Oryzias latipes: one gene and its partner. The protein of the gene in region 1 purifies or fractionates together with the protein of each later gene. This does not show direct contact. Links are inferred from orthologs where the notes say so. Each region holds a gene or a part of one and is shown on either strand. Other genes may lie near its edges.

Evidence for each region.
Region 2: the proteins of lsm1 (region 1) and patl1 purify together in Homo sapiens (co-immunoprecipitation; 3 studies listed by BioGRID and IntAct, with this or other methods). This does not show direct contact. The link is inferred for Oryzias latipes from reciprocal best matches to the Homo sapiens genes LSM1 and PATL1.

Annotation. Positions count from the first base shown.
Region 1 is NC_019867.2:18,635,592-18,639,832, reverse strand, and holds lsm1 (U6 snRNA-associated Sm-like protein LSm1), read right to left. Parts: upstream 2,849-4,241; 5' UTR 2,759-2,848; coding exon 2,713-2,758; intron 2,603-2,712; coding exon 2,534-2,602; intron 2,404-2,533; coding exon 2,288-2,403; intron 1,319-2,287; coding exon 1,148-1,318; 3' UTR 620-1,147; downstream 1-619. Other genes in the region: bag4 (BAG family molecular chaperone regulator 4), read left to right, coding at 3,479-3,568, 4,107-4,226. UniProt on the Homo sapiens protein: Plays a role in the degradation of histone mRNAs, the only eukaryotic mRNAs that are not polyadenylated. Probably also part of an LSm subunits-containing complex involved in the general process of mRNA degradation.
Region 2 is NC_019859.2:1,009,687-1,012,801, forward strand, and holds the end of patl1 (protein PAT1 homolog 1), read right to left. Parts: coding exon 3,018-3,115; intron 2,953-3,017; coding exon 2,793-2,952; intron 2,425-2,792; coding exon 2,299-2,424; intron 1,548-2,298; coding exon 1,456-1,547; intron 1,386-1,455; coding exon 1,236-1,385; intron 894-1,235; coding exon 872-893; 3' UTR 624-871; downstream 1-623. UniProt on the Homo sapiens protein: RNA-binding protein involved in deadenylation-dependent decapping of mRNAs, leading to the degradation of mRNAs. Acts as a scaffold protein that connects deadenylation and decapping machinery.

The DNA.
Region 1 (4,241 bases):
CCATTTACCACAGAAATTCAATTGTAGAGCCGTCAGCACAGCCAGAATTCCTACTAAAGGAGTAATGGATGGTGAGTTTTCTATTTAACAAATTGAAGGATTTTTAAGTTCACCTTATGGTTCTAATAAATATGGCAAGGGTCACTTAGCTCTAATTTTTTTTTGTTGATTTGATTTACAAATGTTGGCTGTTATGCACCTCAAATGCTAAAATATCTATTTTTAATCACTGCTGACATTACACTTCTACATTTGCTGGATTGAGAGGATCCCATGTGAAACAGGACACTTATTGAGAGGAAGTCACATGAACCTCCATCAAAAGTTTAAACTACCGGTATTTTAAAAAAAAAGCTATTTTCTCTTTATATTTTTTTATTTATGCCAAATAACAGTTCATCTATATTTATCATATTAGTATCCAAGACAAATTAGTCTTAAAAAAATAAAAAAATAAAGACTTTGACTCCTACTGGGGCGTGGTCATTGAGACATCAACCCAAATGGCTCTTTATGTGCTGAAGGTTGCAGAACCCTGCTATAGGTTAAGAAAAAAATAAATAAAAAAAAATAAAAAAGTATACGGGGTACATATAAAGATGACTGTAAAACGCATAGCTTCTCTTACACGTCACTTTATTCTAGCAGCTAATGAGGGAAATTGATCAGTATCTGAAAGATCATCCCTATAACAGAATTAACGTTTTGATTAGCCAATAGGAAGCCAGTCAAGTCACCAATAAATACTTAAATGACTAAACGCACCGCTTTCTGTGTACTTGCAGATTAAACCTTCAAAGACAAAAGATTTTTCAAGCAGGCTTTAGTAAGTGAAACTCAATTGTTTTAATGGAGAACAGGAGTGTTAGTCACTAGCAGACCCACCATCTCCAAATAAAAAGTTCACGTCATTATGATGATTGATGACAAAGTGCTGCTGTAAAAAGGCCGTCAAGTTGTAACCATTTGCTTAAACAGTTCTTACATCCCCATACAATTTAAATGAAACTATTAAGAAAAGAAAAAAAAGCAAAACAAAACAATGCAGTATTGTGCCTTACATGATTCTAGCCACAAAACAAAAGACACCCTTCAGTTAAACATAAAATCCATTTGTCTTATACAAACTAAAAGGCTTGTAAAGGGTTCAATACTCGTCCAAATTATCAGCTTTGGGTATGGAAAGGCCTCTGTCCTTCAGAGCTTGCATTTTGACTTTCTCCGTTTCCTGTTTGGCCTGCTGCTGCAACCGCTGCTCCTCCAGGATCTCCTCAATTGAAACCTGCTGCAAGACTGTGTCGCAGGGCTTATCCAAATCCTGCACAGGACACAGGAGAGTGAGGTCAAATCTTATGATCCGAAAATGTCATCAAGTTCTTTTAGGCTCTGTGCATCATTCCATGACACTAACAAAAGTTGCTAGTACTCAATGCTATGGCCTGCTCATAGTTTTGCCCAAAAAGATGCTTAAACTCCGTGGTTCAAGGACCCACGAAAAACTTGTGTGACACAAGTTCGAATGGTAAGCCACAAGCTCCCTGCACCACTCTATTCTGATGCATCCATTGTAGACAAAACGATGCATGTGCCTCTTTGTTTCCCTCATCGGAGCTGAGATCTGGCTCCAAACTATGGCTGGATAGCTCTAATATTGTTGCCGTATTCATTTCTACCACCATCATGTTAGGTTGGGGTTGTGAGGTAAACTAGCAGCAATCCTGCAATCATTTGTGTAATCATTGGTAATCTAAATTATAATTAAGAAAAAAAAAAGTAAGAAGAAGTATGCATTGTATTTATATGGAAAGAGCAAAGATTGACAATCCTCACCACTTTTCCCACCCGCTTTTCTTTTATATCATATTGAAAACCAGGAGAGAAAAATAAAAAATCTGGCTAGACCAAACAGCAAATTTGAAAAAGTTGTAAAATTAAGCCTTTTTTGTTTTTGCTAAGTAACCTTAACATGGAGGTACCTTTACAGTCAATGTGTGCGCAATTTCCTTTTTAAGCAAGTATTCATTTAGGCAGCAACTTTTCAAAAAAAAAAGTTTATAACTGTAGTAACTATATAAAGTAACAATTTACTTGCATATAAATTTAACTTGATCTTTAAATAAGAGTCACATCATTTTCTGCAGTGCGAGACCTGGATGCTTGACCACATTCAGAGTTTGATGTTTGGTGCTGTACGGAGCATCTGAGAACAAGTTCACGTAAATAAAACTTGATCCAGAAATTACATTCAAGTTTAGAACAAACTAAAAAATTGCTCTAAAACACTTACTATTTCCCCAAGCAGGACTACATTTTCTCCCCTGACGATGAAGATACCTCTGGGAATATCTCCAAATTTCTTTCCCACGTGGATACGCTCCACCGTCTGATGAAAGACTAAATTGGCTGTGGAACAAAAAAAAAAAAAAAAGAAAGAAACAAACAAATTTAGGACTATTGAAACACCGCGTAATCATATAAAAATAAAAAAATAAACCCGCATGGAAGAGTTTAGAAGATTCTCATTTTTTATTACCAAACTGATCGATGCTTCTCAGGTAACCGATTAGTGTTCTGCCATCTCGCAGCAGGACCAAGTGCTTTTCTGCGAAATTAAAAACATTTAAAAAAAATCTGCGTCCACACGGCACACGCTAATACATTGTGTCGTTTGTTTATGATTAAAAAAAGCAATTTCTATAAGGCCCAACTTACTGTCAATATCGTCAATGAGACTGGCCGTCCCTGGTACGTAATTCATGTTTAGTTGCAGTTTTCACGCGTTTAGTTGATTTCTGAACCATCAAGCCATGAATGTTTTTACCCGTTTCTATTTGACGGTGCACAGGAAGTGCTTTTATACACTTCCTGTAAACATTTAACCCCTTCCGCACCGTAATTGCGCATAGCTCGAATTTTCTAAAAATAACTGTGTAAAAATGATTTAAACAAAAGTATCATACATTTTATGATACAAAAAGAATTTTCTATAAAACATGTTTGGATTAAATGTCCCCATTTGATGATGGATGGTAACCCTTCCAACGCATGTGCCACATCAAAGATCGTAAATGAAAATTTTGAAAAGTTGCGTCACATGTTTAAAAAATACAACTGCTACAGGAGTAATTCAATAGTTGGTCTTAGCAGTAAAATATATTGAAAATAAATATCTTTAATTAAAAATATTCTAATTGTGTTCCCCGTTTCTGCGTTTTGCAATTGTAAGGTTTCATCCAGCAATTTCGATCAGAAAGTTTTAGAGAGTGACTCCTCTTTACTTGTAATGGTTCTACTCGACTTAAAGACGCAGTACCATGTCTCCAGAGTTCCGCGTCATTTATTCATTTCTTGGTTGCAATCAGGCGATCCTGACTTCTGCGGGGAAGCTGCTGCTTTGATCAGCTGTCAGATTTCTAGCGGAACCGTAAACTAGTGATAGTCTTGCTTATTTTGGAAGATGGCAAAATACGTGTAACTGATGCAGAAACCCCAAATGCAGCCAAACGGGAAAACTGGCTGGCCCTCTACTAACTCGGGAAATAGTCACGGAAGCTGCAGTAACACTATGGTAAGCGAGCAGATTAATTAAAAAAAACTTTACTGGGGGGAGGGGGTGACAGATCATATTGTGCTTTAAAGAAACAAAGATTAATTTAAAATCTCCCAACAATAAAATCCGTTTGTTCGTTCGTGCAGAAGTTCTTCGCAATGTTCATCATGCTAGCTTCATAGCTAATATAGCTAGCGGGCATTATGTAATAGTTACTGCTAGCTTATTAGTTAAGTCCTTGTTTTTAAATTACATTGACTCGAAAATATCGATTTAACACAACACTTCTGCACGTTAGGAGATCGTAGCGATCATATAGAGTTTCATGAGTTAATCATTGGTTTAGCTCAAATTATTTCATTCATTTAAACACAAGTTAACATCCATTTATTTAGTTTTCTAGAAAGACACGAGTATATGTTTATCAATGCGTTTATCATTTAAGTTTCTCAGCATCAAGTTCTCCATATCTCTATTTGAGATTTAGGATAGCTACACAAAATGGGTTGGATCACATAAAGTGAGTCGCTGTCTCGTGTCAACTTGCCTTTTACAGGATGCTCCTCAGTATCCAAGTTACCCTCCACAATACTGGTATCCGCAGTCCCACTCCACAGGGCCCTACGCAAATGCCTATCCTTCAGCGTCAGATCTGCATCCGCAGTACAATCCACAGGTACATCTCACTATA
Region 2 (3,115 bases), on another chromosome or scaffold:
TACAAATTTCTCTCCTTTAATAGATAAAACCCAAAAAACCCTAAACCAATGGCTGCAAAGAGATTTGTCTTTGAAGGGCAGAGTTCTGCTTACGAAAGCAGAAGGGATCTCTGTTTAACGTATGCAGCTCAATCTCTACAGGTTAATAACACAGTCTGCAATGCAATTAATAAAATATGATAGAACTTTCTATGGCACTTTCTGTTGGCACGTGCAAAACTCTTTGGGCACGTGCTACAACACGCATCGCTGCCCCCAAGTGGTGGGAGGCTGCAATGACGCCCCGCGGCCACAAATTCAGGCAGACTTGACTATTGCGGTTCACTCCTACACGCACACGGACCAGGACTGGGCCACTGGGCCACTGGGCCACTGGGCCACTGAGCCGCAGCCCGATGGTTACGAGTTACTGGACTAGGAGGAGGATTTATGTGTCCCAAGTGGACGTGTTCCTGTAGCTGACCGAAAACCCATCACAGGTGAGACCAGGTGAGTCTAAAGCTGCTGAGTCATGTTTGGATCTGAAACCTCATGAAGAACTGGATCACTGGTATCGTCCGTCCACACCGGACGGACGAATCAGGAGCTGAAGAAGAGCAGAAGAAGAGCAGAGCACACCTGTGTCTATATAATAGAAATACTTTTTATTTTGTCACAGGAATAATCGTAAACAAGAGATTTAAAAATGCAGATTCCATCTGGATCTCCATTCAGATTCAAACACTAAACAAACCAGATTCTGCTGCAGTAAAACAAGTCTGCTAGATGAAGCTCAACGACACACAAACACACTCGCTCCTCTGACGCACAAACACACACACGTTCTGCATGGGCTGGGTGGGGGGGGGGCGTGTGGATGTTGAAGTCACTTCTACCTCGATGAGGCAGAGATTCTGGAAGACAAAACGGATTTAGAAACCATTAGGCTGACTGTGCACGTGTGTGCACGTATATGTCTGCATGTGTGTGCACGTATTGTGTAGGTCTGCATGTGTGTGCACGAGTGTGCGTGCATGTTTATGTCTATGTCTGTACCCGTGCGCACATTCAGGTGTGCAATGGTGTGCACATGTGTGTGTGTGCAGGTATGTGTGCATGCAGGTATGTGTGCACATGCGCATGTGTGCGCGCACATGACAGTACATGCATGTGCGTGCGTATGTGAGTGTGCATGTCTGCGTATGTGAGTGTGCATGCGTGTGCATGTGTGTGCGTGTGCATGTGAGCGCGCTCACTGCAGCTTGTCCTGCAGCAGCTCCAGCCTCTGCCGGTCCACATATCTTGAAAAGAGGGACAGCAGGTTGGGGGGGGTGAAGAGTGGAGGGGAGAGCGATGAAGAGGAGACGCTGAGCAGCTCCCTCATCACCGAGAACACCAACTCAGTCCTGGGGGGTCAAGAGGAAGAGTGTGTCAGTCAGGAAGGAGAGGAAGAGGATGTGAGGAAGAGCGGCTCACCATCGATTGTCGTCCATCAGCTGACAAACGGGGTCGGAGCTCTGCATCCGCTCGCCCTCGCTCAGGATCAGATACAGCAGCGTCACGCCGAACTGCACACGTGCGCACACACACACACACACACGCACAGGCAGAGAGGAAACGCTCAGCTGCTGGTGTCCAGAACAGAAATGGTTACTTTTAAAAAGGTTTCCTTCCTGTTTGGAGCGTTAGCATTAGCCGTTCTATGGGAAATTCCATTATGTGTTAGCATCAAGCTAGCAGACTTCTCTACTGCTGTGATGGGTTCAGTACCGGAAAAAGAAAGTCATAAAAGATCAATGTCTACTTTTATGGATCGATTATTGATCTATCCACCTTGGATCTATTCAGATGAATTGATTTTATCAACCCAGCCCTACTTTCTGCAGAAATCAGACATTTTAAGGCAATTTCATCACAAATGAAAAAGGAACAAAAACTAAAATAAAAAATATTCATAAATGATGAAAACAAGAATAAAATGAGGGGAATTTTTTAATTATTGTCTTTCAAAATAAGTAAAATATCATGAGGGCCGACAGGCGGCCTACCCACCCCGCAGCGGCGTGACAGGCTGATGACCTGTCCGGGGCGTTTCCCGCCTTCGCCCTACAGAAGCCGGACGGGCTCCAGCAACACGGCGGGTTAACGAAACGGATGGAAGTTCAGGACAAATCGCCGCCATTGGATGTATTTTACCCGCCCATCGGGTCAATGAAAAGGTCATAGACTTAACATTGAAACTGCCCGCCACTGCCGCGAAAATGGCGTTCGGCGTGAACGCAGTTTAAGGCGGAGCCTCCTCCACGCAGTTTGTCTCACCTTGTTCTGCAGCACCGTGGTCAGCTGACCCTCGCTCCCCTGCAGCTCCTGCAGCAGGTCGGTGAGGGCGGAGCTCGCCAGCGACTGAACCACCGCCGACACCGGATCCAACAGGCAGCACAGCACCTGCACAGGTGAGGAGACAGCTGCTGAGAGAGCAGGAGGGGGAGGAGCTTCAGCACGCCGCTGACCCACCCCACCCCCATGGAAAGACGGCGTGAAAGCGAACCCTGCTAACTGAAGCAGTGGGTGTGTGTGGGAGGGAGGGGCTGTCAAAAACAGAACCGCAGGTGGGGGGGGGGGCAGCCCCACCCATCTGCCAATCAAAAAGGGTTTTATTCTGTCTTTTCAGAAGCTGAACCAAAGACTCCGCCCACAAACTTCAGATTCTCCGTCCACCTCGGGTCCTTCAGAATTAGCTTAGGAAAATAAAAGCTTTGACACCCATTTTTACAAAATAAAAGTCTTGAGAGCACATCTGAAGGGGGGGTTACCTGATCCTGCTTGTCCTTCTTGGCCAAGACGGGGAGGTTGCGGGCGATCGCCATGACGACGGCAGCGGCCTGGGGTGCAGGCAGGAAGGGGAGGAGCCTACCCATGAGGCGCTTGCCTTTCCTCACCGACATGATCATCACGCACAGGTCGTCGCTCACTCTGAAAGAGAGGGTAACGTGTCAGCCACGCCCCCACCCTGCAGCCACGCCCCCTCCCCCACACACCTGTGCTCCCAGTCCTTGTCCCGCAGGGCGGCGCTCAGCTGCTCCGTGTTGGTCTTGTGCTGCTCCAACAGGGCCGAACGCTCCTCCTCGGGGGTCTG